Kluyveromyces lactis: one gene and its partners. The main gene of each other region encodes a partner of the protein of the gene in region 3 in a complex. Links are inferred from orthologs where the notes say so. Each region holds a gene or a part of one and is shown on either strand. Other genes may lie near its edges.

Evidence for each region. The genes of interacting proteins can lie anywhere in the genome.
Region 1: MRX14 (region 3) and MRPL22 share a complex: the UniProt entries of both Saccharomyces cerevisiae proteins name them as parts of the mitochondrial large ribosomal subunit. The link is inferred for Kluyveromyces lactis from reciprocal best matches to the Saccharomyces cerevisiae genes MRX14 and MRPL22.
Region 2: MRX14 (region 3) and MHR1 share a complex: the UniProt entries of both Saccharomyces cerevisiae proteins name them as parts of the mitochondrial large ribosomal subunit. The link is inferred for Kluyveromyces lactis from reciprocal best matches to the Saccharomyces cerevisiae genes MRX14 and MHR1.

What each region holds. Positions count from the first base shown.
Region 1 is NC_006040.1:700,887-707,165, reverse strand, and holds MRPL22 (mitochondrial 54S ribosomal protein uL22m), read right to left. Parts: upstream 3,712-6,279; coding exon 2,812-3,711; downstream 1-2,811. Other genes in the region: RPS3 (40S ribosomal protein uS3), read left to right, coding at 828-1,541; SHR3 (Shr3p), read left to right, coding at 1,961-2,569; TDA7 (Tda7p), read right to left, coding at 4,113-5,279; NOP13 (Nop13p), read right to left, coding at 5,839-6,279. UniProt on the Saccharomyces cerevisiae protein: Component of the mitochondrial ribosome (mitoribosome), a dedicated translation machinery responsible for the synthesis of mitochondrial genome-encoded proteins, including at least some of the essential transmembrane subunits of the mitochondrial respiratory chain.
Region 2 is NC_006039.1:891,125-896,997, forward strand, and holds MHR1 (mitochondrial 54S ribosomal protein mL67), read right to left. Parts: upstream 3,472-5,873; coding exon 2,812-3,471; downstream 1-2,811. Other genes in the region: ATP5 (F1F0 ATP synthase subunit 5), read left to right, coding at 1-100; SUR2 (sphingosine hydroxylase), read right to left, coding at 916-1,935; GTPase-activating protein NEL1, read left to right, coding at 3,898-5,873. UniProt on the Saccharomyces cerevisiae protein: Component of the mitochondrial ribosome (mitoribosome), a dedicated translation machinery responsible for the synthesis of mitochondrial genome-encoded proteins, including at least some of the essential transmembrane subunits of the mitochondrial respiratory chain.
Region 3 is NC_006042.1:1,779,828-1,785,299, forward strand, and holds MRX14 (mitochondrial 54S ribosomal protein bL34m), read left to right. Parts: upstream 1-2,996; coding exon 2,997-3,347; downstream 3,348-5,472. Other genes in the region: PDS1 (securin), read right to left, coding at 266-1,057; GEP5 (Gep5p), read left to right, coding at 1,667-2,584; MRPL1 (mitochondrial 54S ribosomal protein uL1m), read right to left, coding at 3,670-4,470; TMA64 (Tma64p), read right to left, coding at 4,837-5,472. UniProt on the Saccharomyces cerevisiae protein: Component of the mitochondrial ribosome (mitoribosome), a dedicated translation machinery responsible for the synthesis of mitochondrial genome-encoded proteins, including at least some of the essential transmembrane subunits of the mitochondrial respiratory chain.

The DNA.
Region 1 (6,279 bases), on a different chromosome or scaffold from region 3:
CTGGTACATTCCGTATATTCGAGTGTGCTCGCTGTACCCTCTGCAGGTGTACTGGCTCCCAATATTATTCTTTTTTTTCGTTCAAATTGTGAGAAACAGAGAGAGAGAGAGAAAACGAAACGGCATCCTGTAATTACCCGAAGCAATATTGGGTCATATACCTGCTAAAACCCGGTCAATATTGACGTACTTTCTTTTCGGAATAACAAGTATGCAGCTGTGACACGCCGTGATTGCAACATTGTCTGGAATTCCTATGTTATTTCCCATTTTATTATTCGTTGAAACAATTGTGTTGTCTGTTTCCTAAGTGATGCGAGTTACCACAAGGCTCTCGAGTATTCACATAAACCAATGCAGGGGGTGGAACATCTCGCGTATAAATCCTATTTAGGAACTTCCCCATTAGGAAATGGAGGAACGGTCTTGAAGTTTTCTGTTTACGGCGAGTTTTCTACGCTTACCAGGTGACTTGAAAATATATGTTCCTGGGACTGCTCACCCGGACATTTTTGTTTTAGTTTTTTTTCCAATTTTTTCTGCATTGCCATTTTGGGTACTTATCTCATTGAAAATGTTCATTTATCTGAAGCATTAACCCATACACCACATGTGTTGGTGAGTAAATACTGTCTTTCAGATGATTTTTTCATTTTCACCATACCAATCGCAGCGATTCGGACGGTTTGACGAATATTGTTCTCATCATCGCTTTACAATCTGGTTCATTATGAACATAAGTGCCATTGGACATACAAGATACTTACTTTAGTTAGTTTTATTATCACCTATAATTTCGAGCTCCCCGACGAACAAATAAAGTAAAAATGGTTGCCATTATCTCCAAGAAGAGAAAGCTTGTCGCTGACGGTGTTTTCTACGCCGAATTGAACGAATTCTTCACCAGAGAATTGGCTGAAGAAGGTTACTCTGGTGTCGAAGTCAGAGTTACTCCAACCAAGACCGAAATTATCATCAGAGCTACTAAGGTTCAAGATGTTGTTGGTGAAAATGGTAGAAGAATCAACGAATTGACCTTGTTGATTGAAAAGAGATTCAAGTACAAGCGTGGTACCATTGCTTTATACGCTGAAAGAGTCCATGACCGTGGTTTGTCCGCTGTTGCTCAAGCTGAATCCATGAAGTTCAAATTGTTGAACGGTTTGGCCATCAGAAGAGCTGCTTACGGTGTTGTCAGATACGTTATGGAATCTGGTGCCAAGGGTTGTGAAGTTGTCATCTCCGGTAAGTTGAGAGCTGCTAGAGCCAAGTCCATGAAGTTCGCTGACGGTTTCTTGATCCACTCCGGTCAACCAGTCAACGACTTCATTGAAACCGCTACCAGACACGTTTTGTTGAGACAAGGTGTTTTGGGTATTAAGGTTAAGATCATGAAGGACCCATCTAGAAACACCTCTGGTCCAAAGGCTTTGCCAGATGCTGTTACCATCATCGAACCAAAGGAAGAAGAACCAGTTTTGGAACCTTCTGTCAAGGATTACAGACCAACTGAACCAGTTGAAGCTGCTGAATCTGCTTAAATCAATTGATATCTGTTTGATTCTATATTATTAATTAGTCTATTAAATACCGTTCTTATATGTATAAATATTAAGAAACTCATCAATTCTTTTAAAAATAAGTAATCTATGCCCAGATGACATCGATTAAAACGTCCTGCTTTTATCAATGGATTTTTAAAATGATTTATCGATAGCGCCTTCCGATAATGCCTTTCCGCCTTTCAGTTCCTTTATCTTTCATACTAATCAAAAAAATTCGGTGGGCAAAAATCATGTAAATTATTAAAAAAAAAGAGAATATATAGTGCGTACTGAAAAAACCAATGGCTCAATTATAGATGAATTGTTAACCATTTAATACCACACGTAGGGTCTATACGTTCCATTTTTAAGAGAACGTAGGTATCGCTCACTAAACACATTGACTGAAAGTAAATATGGGCCTAACTTATAAGGATTTTTGTGCTGTAGGTACAGCATTGATCATTGGATCAACTACTTTTTTGATGGGGATCTTCTTTTCTAATCAACCATATGACTATAATATCCTATTCAATCCTGCTGCCACGCCGGAGCATTTTGAGAACGCTTTGAAACACTACCAGACTCTATTCTACACGGCCAAGCCAACCCTTTATATGCTTGGTGCGGTGGCCATTGTGGGAGTCATTGGTTCCTTGATTAGGGTATACAAGCCAAATCCAGATTTGCAATTATTTGAATACGGTTCATTGGCTTTGTACGTTTTGGGTATCTGTGTTTTCTTAACAAATATCAAGACCGGTGTTGAATCTGCGGTTTACCATAACTGGGGTGAAGTCTCTGAGGCGCAAGGTATTGCTGTTGTTGCCTCTTCCAATATCATTATTTTAATTGTCTTTGCTGGTGTCTTAGTGTTGCAAGGAGGTTTGTGGTACAGTACCTGGGAATATGAACAAAGATTAGATCAATGGAGGAAAGACCAATTGAAGGAATCTGCCGCTAACCAACAGAAGGCGGAGAAAACTACTGAACCAGCTAAAACGGAATCTAAGAAGAAGAAATAGACGAAATTTGTTTCCTTACAGTTTGATGCGGTGAAGTATTTCGCGTTGCTTTCACTATTTACAAGCTCTTGTTCTATATATTATATAAATGATATGAAATACTTGGCTATTCCGACATGGATAACTTGAGATGAAACCCAAAGACAATCTAAGGACCTTATTATTGATGATTTAATTGCTGTATATTATCTTCACCCATTATCATTGGAAATAAACGTAATATGATAATGTTTAATATCTCATTACCATTTGTAAACACCACCCATAGAACCTCTGATGGGTTTATCTGCTAATTGAACCCACGGTTTCTTCCTTTGTTCTTTTAGTTTGGCTTCGTGCTCTAGTCTTCTCTTCGTTACACTCTTGGTCTTCAATATGCATTTGATATGCACATATGGGTGTTCAATGAGACCACGTCTACCTCTACCCTTCCATTCGACACGTTTTTGCCAAAATCCATCACTGCCGGTCCATATCTGGGAGATGTATAGGTCATTGGCATCCAAGCCAAGCTTCACACCATCATTAATACCGCGCTCCAATAATTCGGCAACATCACGGGCAACCTTTTTATCGGAGAAATGACATTGAGTCAAAGCTTTCTTAGCGTCCAATCCGTTCAAAAGTCTAAGCAGCTGTGTGGCCTTCTTCATAGATGATTTTACTCTGTAAGATTTAACATAGACACTAGGTTCAAGCACTTCTAATTCTTCATTCGTTAATCTCAAAGAACGATCTTTAGGGCGCACGCTTTTGTCGTAAAACCCACCGTTCAACCTAACCTGTTGTTCATAGAATTCCTTCTTAACTCTTGGTAACAAAAATTCTGGTAAACTTTTGATCATGGGGTCTTGTTCTTCGATATATTTCTGTAATTGTGTATCATTGGCTGCTGTAACTTTCTTTTTAGCCTCTGCCAGCTGGGTAGCAGCATCCAAATCATCTGACAGTTCGGTAGCAGTAGTCAACTTATTAGATAGTTTATTTGGATCGTCATCCTTCAACGGATTCACTCCATCGGTGACTTCACCGAATAGCGAACCTTGTGCAGATTTTTGTAGCTGCAATGCTGAAGCTTGAAAACTTCTTACACCGGAAGCCTTTCCCAAGCCGAACAGGCTAGTTACTGTCCTCGATAGCATTAAATTTTATATAGGTTGAACTGATGACAGAGCCTGCAACTAACCATGTAATTTACACGTGCCTCTAGTATTATACTGTAGGCATTTTATTACTTTGATCAATCCTTCTTCTGTACAATGTTTGATTATCAAAATTTTTTTGTTCGATGGTTAGGAAATATAAATCATCGTGAACGGGCATGAAGATATAAGGAATGGTTCTACTGTGTGGAGGAAGATATTGAAGTCCGACTATCTTGACGGGTTGTAAGATCACAAATTAGAAAAGCGTTAGTGTGGAATTGCTAGGAATTAAACCTTAAATATGAACTATATAACTGAAGATGCACAAAGAAGTATATTGAATAGAAGGGAAAATTTAAGTACAAATTTGAAAACTTTGTAATTAGAGTTTGGTAAGATCAGTGTTCGATTAGTTCCGTTAAATATCCGTGAGCGTTCTGTGGGTTTTCATCGTAAGTAACTGACATTTCAGTGTCATGTGTACCCTCATCGGTGGAAGATGACACAAAGGATGAATGTAGTGATGTTGTGGAAGGCGTCTGAGACTCTGGATCTGCAATCGATACAACATATTCGTCGTCGAATGGATTTGTCGTCTGTGGCCTCCTGACAGAATCTGCAACATATGGAGGCACTGAGGGCAAACTTTTTGAAACTTTGTTATTATTATGAGCAGTCGTCGATACTCTGGTTGTAGTCTTGGTGGTTTGCTGAGACTGTGCAATAAACGTTCCGATATCGTCGTATCCCATTTTTCTCCCAATGTCGTGGGAGAAGCTCTTTTCGTGTTCGATAAGATTTCTCCTTCGTCTCTTCCTAAATAATAAATAGATCACCAGTATCATTAGCGCCAGACCTCCCACGCTTCCTATTACACCACCGATTATTGTATCTTTATTTGATCCAGACGATGTTGAGTTGGAATCCAATGCGCCAGATAGCCATCTTTCGTAAAAAGATGTGTCAGTCACAACTGGACCTGTAGGTGTAGTGAAAGTAGCCTCTGTGGGTATCACTGTAAGTGTCGGTAGTCCTTTAGTAAAGGTGGTTGAAGTGTCAGTAAAGATGAAATCTCGTGTGTAATAAACCACAGTTTCAGAAGACGGTACTTCAGTGGTCAACGTTAACCAAGTCGGTGTAGGCACAGTGGCAGTAGCTTCTGTACCCTCAACAGATGTGTATTCTTGGGTCGCGGTGTTCTCGGGATAAATTGTTTGCATTACTATGTTGCTCGGTCCTGAGCTCATCTCAAGTACCGTCACCATTGCCGTGTCTACATCTGTATGCGACGTTGAATCATCTGTTGACGGCGGTACCCAAACTGTAGATGGCGATACTATGCCAGGTGAATCCGAATCCGAATGTGATCTGTTTGGATATACCAGAACCGTCCTGGTCTTCATACCATGTGGCTGCTGCGTAGAATTTCCTGAGTCAGGGTTGATGTAATCCGTTCGTAAACTAGCAACGCTTTGTGAGAACGACTCCGAACTTTCTGTCAGTGTATCTGACGAAGAAACAACAGATGAATAATCAGTACCGTCAGTGGTAGTGTTGAACAACATCTTTAGGTGAACTGGCCAGTGAGATCCTGTTATAGATCTTGAAATTTAATAGTTTCCTTGGTACAACTGCTTTACGCTTGTAACGGTTTTTCGGTAAAAAAAATGATGTAGCAATCGACTTCACCCTTTCTCAAGCAACTAGCAACTTATGTATCGTCACCCACTACCTTATAAGTCCTGCCTTAGCGTCCCTTGATGGATGTATAGAGAAGTTGACGACGTTACCCTCGCCTATTTCTCCTTATGCAAGGCTTCTATTAGTAGACCTGCTTCAAGTTCTATATTTGTTTGCTGCTCTCGAATGCGTAAAAGAAAAAAAAAAAAGTCGTGCTCGCCGGTCGTGGAGAAGGATTCTCGAGACTGAGCGGTGAAGAAAAACAAGATGCAGCCTTCGACTTGCAGCAGAAGGATGATAACAGAGAACCTCAGTCCCATACGTCCTTCTATACTTTATTTTTGATAAGTATATATTCCTATGAGAGAATATAAATATGGGTATATGATCTATTTCGAACTAATATACAAGATTTTGATATATTTCATGTTTTCTTGACGCACATTAAAAAGTTGTCTTCTTACCTTGCGATGGCACAATGGCTGCAGATCCTCTTTGAGCAGAAGCCAATGCAACACTACTTTTCAAACGATTGTTAGAATCCTTGTGAGATGGTTGTCTATTGGAATAGGATGGTGCACGTCTTTCCCTAATTGGTGGTGGTGCTGCTGATGATGACGGTTGAGTCGTCTTTATGTCAAATGATGGCTTCCTTGGTTCCCTGGCATCTAACTCAGGTCTCCTTCTCACTTGTCTCTTTGATCTATCTTCACCGTATTCCATTCTAATAGGTCTGCTTGCAATCTTTCTACAACTTTTATCTTTAAGCGCATTGGTAGCACCTGTTTCGTCCTTAAAATCGATAAATGCAAACCCTTTACACTTACCAGTGTCTTCGAAAGTAGCCATTCTTATCCTCATAATTTCACCACAGTGTTGGAAGTG
Region 2 (5,873 bases), on a different chromosome or scaffold from region 3:
CCAAGGTGGTTTAATCGTTGAAGTTTCCGACAGAACCGTCGATTTGTCAATTGCTTCCAGAATCAACAAGTTGAACCAAGTTCTAAGAGAAGCTATTTAAACGATATCCCAAAACCTATAAATCAATTATATGAACGAGGAAAATATATCATGAATTTCATGTATGGGGTATCTTCAATTTTATTTCCCTTCTCAAGGGAGAAATATGTGTTCTATAAACTACACACAGTGAATAGAACGTGATTAATAAACGATTCACATCTGAACTATGATTTTATATTTCAACGATACTTCTTTTTTTTTTCTCTCACGATTTCATGATGACTTGACGTCCACTTTTTACCGATACAAGTAACTTTAAAACATTATTAAACTATTAACATTCTTCGCGCTTCGTGCCAAAAAAATTTTATTACGATCGTATATGTATAGAGCAAATACACAACGAAAAGATTCAAAAGTCGATTCTTTAATCCTTAGTCGTCTCATTGGATTGCTTTGTTTACTTAAACCAACCATTTTCGAGTCAGTTTAAATACAAACTCATAAATAGATGTTGAAATAAAGTATAACTTTCAGAACACTATTCAATTTAGTATAATGAATCGATTAAGGATAGAGTGGATGCAGAAAAAGATTGAGTTCTTTAAACCTCATTACAAAAATTAACTAACTTCATTACAAAATCTGAAAGAAAATGTGTAAAACGAATAAGGGGTGGGTTCTAACGCCAGTAGTAAAGTAAATAGTAATACTGATAATCACAATTATAAGGATGCTAATAAGCATATGTGATCACAAGAAAATGACGGTGATTGATCCTTTTTCTAGGAGAAAAGAGATAACAATGAAACGTTAAAAAAAAACAATTGGAAGTGAAACATTGATGTAGGATATATGCAGAAGATAAGAAAACTATGACATCTTCTCTTTCATAGCTTTTAACTTGGCCTGGTGTTCGAGTTTTCTTTTGTTCAAAAACTCCTTGTACTTGTCAATGGTGACACGTCTTTGTTTTTTCTCATACTCTTCAAATCCATGATACTTGGTGTCACAAAACTTATCCCATATGGTAAAGAATGGTTGAGAAAAATTGGACTTGATACCAAAAGACTGATGGTGAATGTCGTGATACACTGCATTATTTGAAAACAACCACTGGAATGGGTCCAGGGGCAAAGCATATCCGCAATGATCGTCCACTGTTTTCAAAGTAGCAAAAGTGTATAGAACAACTTGTTCTGTATGATTTAATTGTGTCACGATTGCAGCAATGCCTGTACCCAAAGTGTCAAGGAGGAAACCTTCCACTGGGGAATTGTACAATGCACCGTACGCATAAGGAACATATAACCTATGATGACGTGAGTGGAATTTTTTGTAAAGTGTCTTATTCATATGCATCACCCTATGCAGCCAATACTGCCACGAATCTACGATACAAAACCCAATAAATATCCTTATCATAGACCATCCATAGCAATACATAAACTTGATGAAAACAGATGGTACGAAAAAGGGTAAAGATTGCCTCCATTTCCACATCTCATACTTCTCAAACCCTGAAGTCGGCACAGGATCCAAGTAGAGCATACCAAGTCCAGTAAATGTTTGAATGAAATGTTGTAATATCACCTCTTTTAAAACCTCTAATCTTGAGGCCTTATTCCGCTGTTGTACTTCCTCGCTTGGATGAATCCTGTACTGTTCGAAAACCTCATTGGTATCAATGTAATGGAAAAACATCGAATAAAGCCAATAAGCAACAACAGGTAGTGCTAAGGCAAGTTTCCCATCAGAAATCCAAGGCAAAATATCCTGTTTCTTCGTTATCACAGAAGCAGGTGGAGCTTTAGAATTCATAAACGACACATCCATAGCATCTTTCACCTGCAAATACAAGTGCTGCACTGCACTTTCAACAATATTTGCCATAGTTATAAAACCGATACAGCACACGCAAAATATTGTATCTCCTTATCCTCGAACTGTATCCGACAGAAAACAGCTCCTCTCAAGTATAAATGGACTTATAAGTTTTGTATGACACTGCAAATATCAGTTTGTGTATCTGATTTCGTATCTTGCTTCGTATTTTATATAGTTGCTGTCTCTCTTCAGTATGATCAAAAAAAAAGAAACAGTAACTCCAGAATAACTTTTTACCTAATCTCAAGCCTTACCCTTTCAATATTATTGCAGCCTTCTTCGCTTGGTATGCCAACATTAGCCTATACGCTTCGTATAAATACAACCACTGATCTTATAACGCAATACATTTATAACGCAATTCTGTATTCTCGACACCATGTTATGCTAGAAAAACTAAGAAAAACCCGAAGCCTCTAAGGGAAAACAGGATTGTCGTTAAAGAAACACCAGAGAAAACCAGAGAAACGGTGTTAAGGTTTCTCAAATTTGGTCATGTGACATTTTTTTTGCTTTTTCTTTGGTGTCCGGGTTCCTGCTTCTTCTTCCGTTAGGCGTTAATGCATGCATGAGACACATATGGTATGAAGCGGTAGAAAAGTAGAGGAAGTAATATGATGATTACAGAACCTTTGATATTTAGGTTACGTGATGATGGAAACAAGGGAGAAAACTGCTAGTAATCACCTTGTCAAATCAGTTAAACGCCGGTAGTGAGCTGAGGGTTTGTTTATATTATTTACAGAGTCGGATTGTCTGCGGGTTATATATGTACATGTAGTGATTTCTTAAAGACGTGACGAGTGAAGCAGTGAAAGATCTGAGCTCGGCTCAGCTTTTGCAACTGGAAATAGTTTGTATTTGCTTGTTTTCTTTTGTAACTCATAGAGAGATGTTTTGAGCAGCTGACTCCTGTTGTCTCACTCTTGCGAACTCTTCTTTGGCTCTTTCGCCTAGTTCTTTCAAAATTGCACTTTCCTCTCTGGAAACGTTCCCCAAACGTTCTAGTGTTGTGTGATTCAACTCTGGCAATACTGGGTTCCAGTATTTCTCTTTATCCCCCATTCTCCATTCGTCTTCCCAATGGACCTTAATGGACGATTGGACGTCTTTCAACTTTAGGAGACATTCTCGCAAATCGGCAACCGCTTCTTGAGAGTATGTTGGTCTGTATTGCGATGAGTACCATGTGTGGCCGGACTCATTCTTCTTTCTCATGTCTTTTGCCTGTTTACTGAATGTCACATCACGGAGATATCTTAATCTGCACAAATTCTGGTATACTTTTACACTCTTGTCGTAGTCTGGTAGATCAACAACAGCCATACATTTCCAAATATCACGTCTGGTGCTTGGTTTCTTATTCTCCCAGTTGGGTCTTTGGAAATTGGTATCAATTTGCTTCCAAGAAAAAGTCGGGAATTGAGAGTACAGCACTTGTCCACTCTCTAGGTTTCTGAATAAAAAGACTTGTGGTGCATACCCTGCTTTCTGTAGCCAGTTGGCTGGACGGAACTTGGTAATAGCTAAATGCTTGCTCATCTCTTCCTAGTGCCCTATGGTGTCTTCAAGCCTTATTTGTTAACAACAAAAGCCTTGATCCTCAGAGTTCTCTTCTATCTCCAGTGCTATTGATGGACTTCTGAAGAGTTATTTAAATACAATGTGTGCACAAATGTGGTGATCTCTTCTGTAATCAAGCTAAACTAACTATCAGCTTTCTCTTTTTCAAAATTTTTCAGCTTTTTCAGATGCCATAAACAACTTCGTAGAAACACTGAAAATTAAAGAGAATGAACCTAATATATACATTACCCGGATCTTGTGATGATATTGAATTCTCCGCTACCTGCTCTATCTTATCTTGGATCTCATCTCCAGAGAAAGGTTTTCCTATCAGCAGACACGCACAGTAGAGTTATCACCTTCATCCGTCAAGTGTCCGCATATTCCACCATCTAGAACTTGATGTTTGAATTGAATTATGGAGCCGTTCCTACGTCCCGGACAGATTGCTTAGCTAGAGTTCTCGATTGTGGAGATGATAACCGTGGATCGATAAGTGCCATTTGTGAGCCGGACTTGACAATTGACGGGAATTCAAGCCTAGCAAGCAGTGAGAATTATACCAATTGTAAAATCTGTGGAGGGTTTGCGAATTTTTTATGTTCAAGAGATTCACGAGCTGGGTGGTTTTGTTCTTTTTGTAATGCTTATAATGAACTAGGGAATATTCCATTATCATCGTCATACCTAAAACATTTAGGAACTGCTGCTGTGCCTACGCATTCCAAGTTCGCCATAATCATCGATCTTAATTGTGAATTTGAGGAAAATCTAGACGCGTTGAAGATGTTACAATTTGGTTCTGTCCAGTCATTGGCCCTGATCACGATTGAAGATGGGTCTGTCACTATTCATACTGACGGGTCACACATTACCGTAGATGCAGAATCTAGTAGTTGTATCAGCCATCTTAAGAAGCTTGACACAGAATGGTTCATTGCAAAGTATGGGCTTTTAGTGAGGAAGATTTGGACGGACCAAATATCTTTCGGTGCTAAACTCGCGGAACTTCTATGTCAACGGACTAGGTCAAAAAAAAGATGTAGAAGAAACACTGCACTCGCTATTTTTCTAGCACAATGTCTAAACCCATCACAATCCATTGCATTTGTTTTCGGACCCTGTACAGTAGCACCAGGTAAGGTTATCTCAATGGACCGAAAAAATCATATCAGGCAGCATAGAAATATAGAGGAAGACAAGGATGTGAAATATTGGAAACCTTCTAGAGAATTTTACAATAAAATGAGTAAGTCCTTAAAGTTTGCTCCATGCACGGTATTCGTCGCATCCATGGATCAGGTCGGAATATGGGAGATGAGATCCTGTTTGAACAACTTTATTCAATACGAATCCTTCAATGATAGAAATTTCATATATGATTGGCAGGCGTATATTCAAGGGAAAGGATGTTATGAAATAACCAGAATTGTTATCAAAACTTCTAACAAGCTATTACTGAATGGGATCTTTGGTCCAGTCTCATCCTTGAAAGACAAGGACACACATGTATCTGACACTCCAAAGGGCTTTGGAGGGTCTGGAACCTTCCGTTACAAAGGGCCAAGTAGTAATCTACCATCAATTTTGATAAGTTTATCTGTTGATACATCTCGCAGCGCTGCTGAAGCCTTGCAAGAAATGCCAGATAAATTTTCCTTTCAAATGGAATGCTACTATAAACACTTGAATCAAGAATACGTTTCTGTAGAAACGAAATTTATTCCCAGTACAACCTTACCAGGTGAACATCTTTTAACCCAAAATTTCCACTGGGATATAATGGCTGGATCCATAATGAAAAAAATATCTTTCGCTGTCTTGTTTCAAGGCAAGTTTTATGATTACGATCTAAGGTGGTGGACGTTAGAAATAGTAAAACTTCTTAAATCATTGAATGCCATCGATGTTCCTGGCATTAAATCCTTACAAGAAGTAACGTACTTTATGCAAAGATCAACTCTCTTAAGGAAGAGAAATACATCGCCTGACGAGTGGATCGTCTACCATTGGACAATTCTGAATTCCCCTTTAAGTCATATATTCAAGATGGTTAGACCCCAAGTGTATTCGACCACAGGGCTTATTCAAAATACAACTGACATCCTTAATTATGCCGAACCTTTATTGGTAGATGGTGGTAACGTCCTTGTGGTACGAGATACTTCAGTAGGAGATAGCAGAGTTGACAGTTTGAAGGCAGCTGCTGATACCATATACCACGATGGAAGTCGATTTCCAAAGCCTTGGTATCGAGAAACCAAGCCAGGTGCTAGTCAGGATAGATTTGTAATTGCACGACTAGGCTTAACTGCAGAACATTCTTTGCATTCTGATGACCTCACGCTTGATAAATACATGGCACTGTTTAAATCAAA
Region 3 (5,472 bases):
CATCAATAACCTAATGTCAACTATTATTCTGAAATGACCACTCCATTTATCAGCAGAAGTAAAAAATACGTTTACTGTCCCCAAGTTTTCTTACTTAGCAGTACCTGTATAAACTTCTTCTTGCATATATTTATTTCGATACAAGTAATAAAGTTAAACCCCAATGACTTGCATACTGATCCACTCTCCACGGATAACATGAAAAAATATACCTCTTGAACTATTTATTACATGATATAATACATCTGCAGCATTATAGTACCCGTTAATCTAATAAGGAATTTAATTCTAGCGTATCCAATCCTTGTCCGTTATATTCCTCACCAAGTTCGATTGTTATGCTTTCATTATCAGAATCCAGTTCTAGATTGTGCTTGTGATTGTTATACCTGGTAGGGGAAACGAGATCTTCATCTGTAGCAGCTAAACTTATAAGTTCTGGATCTCTTTCTTCTGTATCAAACGTTATTGATTCAACCTGGAATGGAGATCTATGATGCTGAAGTTTCTCGATGGATTCCTTATCAAAGGGGTCGTACCCATTAGGTATATACGGTAGTTCTTTTTGTCTCTTGGGTGCATACTCAATGTTTAGTTCATCTTCTTTCTCTCTGATAAGGGCTTTTAATCCGTTGCCAAACCCAAGGTTTAACGATTTTCCGCTGGGAAATATGGGTAAATCATCCTCCTCATCCTCCTCATCTTCGTCGTCATTCTTTTCATTTAGCTCTGTATCTTTCAGCACCAATGACTTCGTTCGTGGCATAAAAGTGTTCATCCCCAGGACACTTCCGTATTTCTTCAGTTTATTTTCAGGCATATTCTTCATAAAGCTACTGGCGGGCCTTTTTAAAGGGTGATCACTCTTTCCCAACGCAGCATTATTCTTCACACTTAGTATAGATTGCGTCCTGTTATTATCTTTGCTAGCTAGTGGGCGTCTGTTGCCCCGTACTAATGAGTCCGTCCGCTTCATCTGGTTTAGAGGGGTCCTCAGACCCAAATCATTGTCAGGATCTTGGACGGATATGATATTCTCCTTCCCTTCGTTCGGCATAGCTATTTGAATCTGTATATAGCCAATATCTCTTCTAGTCTGACTTCACGCTAGCTTAACAGACAAAATTGGAATATCTTACCGTTGATTGCTCGGCTTTGAACGACCTTGAGCTCTTACTGTTTGTAAATTTTGAGACAGTTTTTGTTATGTTTGTATATTTGTGTTGTTGTTTTTGATCGAATTTGGTGAATCAAACTGAGTATATGTGGTGTATGGATGTTACGGTGATACTGGATACATCTTCATTGCTTAGTACTCATGAAAATACTCCAAAAGAATCCGGAATGTCGCGATGCTTTGAGACTATGCCCACGTCAACAAGGAGCAGTAGCAGTGCCTACTACAAAATGTGAGTTTGTGTCGCTGTTCTTCCTGGTTTCGTTTCGTGTCTGGCTTTCCAAATTGCAATATGGAATAGTAAGTAGGTACGAAAATTTTCTAGCCTAGAGCACACACATGACGATCTTCATACAGAGAACAGGCTCGGAAGAGGTTCTGTATTAATCTAAAGACGAAGGTTATTACTGTTTAAAATAGGTCATAATCGAATGGACATACTGTGAAGTATTGTGCGTATTTTTTTGACAACAGTTTTGGAGGTTGACGATGAAGGCTAGTCTTCTGAGAACTTCGAAATTATACAAGGGTCTTCATTCAATAACTAAAGACGCCATTTCGAAGGTGGACACTTTCCCCAAGAATAAGCAACATGAAACGCTACATCGGTTAAACTCTTTCAATGAGAATCCAACACGCAAGACCTTGGAGAAATTAGTCTATTCTGTTCATTTCCATTTGTTGAACGATCCTCCTAAACACGTAGACATATTGAGACAATACCCTAATGAGTTGGCAAAATTTTGGCCCTATGAAATGCAGCACTCGATTTTAGAAATGGATGACCCAAATCTAACATCTCAAACGATTTTATGGTCTCGTAACAATAAGGATGCTTTGGATTTCTTGAGCTTCAATCGTCATAAGTGGCTGCGGCCGAAAAACTGGCAGACTCCGAATGAGGAACTTATAAAAGATATCACAGGAATTGACGGTCTTCAATCAACTCAAATTACAGAAGTATTAAGACTCCCTGCAGAAAAGATAAAGGAGACACTACGGCAAATTTTCGAGCATTACTATTTCTTGAAGACAAATCCGAAACTATGCGCTACAAAAAAACTCCAGGCACCAATCGTTGAGATCGGAATGAAACCTGATGGTTTCGATATAGCCGACATCAGGATCGATAACTTGTTTAAGAAAAAGGTCAAGCTAATTAGTGACCTGCTCTACTCGCAAAATCCGGTGCTGACTTCAGATGCAGAGTCTATATTAACGTCAATAGTTAACGACCCAGATCTCAATAGGCGAACGAAAAGATTGTATAAAAATGTTGCCAGCAGATCTTACCTTTTCAAAGATGGGAAGTTCGAAATAAGTGAACTTGCTAGAGGCGGATTTGTCCTGTCGAAGGAAAATTTGAGCGAGAACTTAGCTGCTGCCCTTGAGGAAGAACATAATTGACTTATGAACACACATCACGTGATATATAATTTACCTACAGCTACCATTTTAGCTCAATGTAAATAGAAAACACTTTAATAATAATGTTAGCCAGGAAATGAAACCGCCAATACACTTATTGTAACAGACTAGTCTAAGACCGATTTGAAGTTTCAGCGGTTTGCTAGAAGCCAAGTTTGTTCGCTTCCACAGATGCTTTCACTATTTCCAACATCCATCGATATTTTCATACATTTACATTAGTCTCGAGAAAGAAAAAATTTGAATTCAAAGAAATCAAACGAAGAGAAACCAGGACATATTTCTTGAAGACGAAGTCTCCTAAAAGTAGTCGCCCGAACTACTCATTAGTTATCGATAAGGATTTAATTCGAAGTGAAGAACAATTAAAATAAAATCTCATCCAGTCGTTATGAGTTTTATAACAAGAAATCTTCTTCAGTGGACCTCAAAACGTACATTAACCAGTTTCTCTAGTTTCTCACCTTTAAGAACACTAGACTCACGTCTTCATAGACCTTTGGCGCAAGTCAATCCAATGGAAATCACTTTACAATCTCAAACACAAGCAAATGGCTCATCAATATTTGGTATGTTGTTCGATTTGACTCAGAGAAGATGGAAAAGTAGAGGTAACACTTTCCAACCGAGTACTTTAAAGAGAAAGAGAAGAGTGGGGTTCCTAGCAAGGGCAAGATCTAGAAGTGGACAACAGATACTTAAAAGAAGAAAGAATAAAGGCAGATGGTATTTGACTTATTAGTTCTGTTCAACTTTCCAATCAAACCAGGAACGTTATGGAAGCGCCTGATTATAAAGAATGGCTGAATCTCCTGTATATATATCCACATCGTCATTATGTATTTTAAGAAAACGGAACAGTTTTGATTTTAGCTTTGCCATCAGAAAGCTGGCATGACATTAAGATGATTCTATCGGATAGGTTTATAGTTATCAATTGCAGAAGGAATCTTTTTTCTATTAACGATTTCTATGTACATGGGCATTATTTCTGAAGTAAGTTTCATTCTATCTTGACAAGGACAACAATTCCAGTTATTGTTCATAAAAATTGGGTTGCTTTATTAAGCAAAGTCAATCACAATACCAGGACCGTGTGTACTTGTCAGCGTAGTTTGGGACAATATGCTTGGTTTTTTCGTTTGTTGATTGGTGATAGATTGTTTGAAAGCCTTCTGTGTTGCCAACAAGTTCTCTAGAACTTCCTTGTCAGTGAAATGGGTCTTGGCAACACCTAAACTAATACTGTTACCACGTTGTCTGAATGGAACAGAGCTCATACTATCTTTAATCAATGGCTCAAGATCTTCGGCGACGGTTCCCTTCTTGGCAGTTGGCAGTAAACCACGAGGACCCAAAATTCTACCAACTTGAGAAGCAAGTTGTGGAACAATATCTGGAGTTGCAAAAGCCTTGTCAAAGTCGATACTGACTTCACCAGCCTTGATTTGACTTACTAAATCTGAACCGCCGACTAAATGAACACTGTATTTATCTTTCATCAAAGCCGCTTGTGCCTCGTCATTAGTGAAGACAGCAACTTTCACATCTTTAAGAGGTTTGCCGAAGGAAACATTACCTGTAAGAGGGGGGACACCTCTTTCTGCTACCACCAATGTAGTTAACGTGATGGTTTGTTGGCTTGCTGGTTGCCCGACTTCGATTGCACGTAAGTATCTTAGTGCTCTAGAAACTGGCATATACAGTGGATGGTCACTGGCCGGAGTTTTTGCTTGCAATCTTCTTTGAACCATTTTTCTTAGCTCCCTCTTTCTAAGTTGCTCTTTAGTCAACTTAGTACCCGTTTCTTCCGCTAGACGGAAGGACGTTATCTGGAACTGCCTGGTGAATATTCTTGGAAACATCTTGCCGACCCTATTAGCCTCTAAGTAGCGAAATTGGAAAAAATCTCAGGTTATTCAGAGACACAAGTCTTTGAAGTTTTTACGTGAAATAGTTGAAAATTGATTGTATCCTCTCCAAAGGGTAATATAACGTCAACTCGTTGTTCTCATCGTTCTTGTTAACGCTTCCAAGATTTTAATCCAACTAATCATTATACTAAAGCTGAAAAAATTTTGATACATCGACAAATCCGGGTAATATGTAATTGGTATACTGTTTATGTAGGTGAATAAGACGAGGAAGAAGATGAGTTATCTATGATATACAAGGCCCTGGAAAGACCACAAAGAGCAGTTTCACATAATGCCTATCTGCATAAGTGTACCTTACAGCTTCTTCTTTTGTTTTGGTTTGACTTTATTTTCAAACGAAATCCATTTAGTAGGAATACCGTAGTCATTCAAAATAGAGATTACGATTGAACCGTGTGGACCCTGAACCTGGACTTCAGCAGTTTTCGTCGATTTAGACTCACCAATGGTGGTGGATCCGCTGCACTTCTTTCTTAATGCAGCAGCTAATTCTTCAGAGTCAATTTTAAACTTTTCAAAATTAGTGACTCTTGTGATGACCTTCCTACCAATTTTCTTCTCCGTGACAATTTCAAGAGTTGGGATGGGTCCCTTCTCTGGTACTTTGAGAAGCGGTTCACCATTAGGCTTGTAGATTTGGTGGTAGGTGTTGAAGTTTTTTGAGAGGAAAGTGGGCGAAACTATTAGCCCTCTTGCAATTTTCTGTATTCCACCATTTTGGGGAGCTCTGTTAGACATTTGATAAAGCGTATCATCATATTTGACAAGAGATTTGTTCTCCGGATCTATTAGATTGTTATTGGCGACATACAAATCTAGAAGCTTTTTTAACTCTTGTTGAGTGTAGTAACTCTGTGGGACATCGGCGGTTATTCCGGTAATGAATCTTTGGCATGCGCTCATTGGTTTATAAAGATTTTCACCAGAATA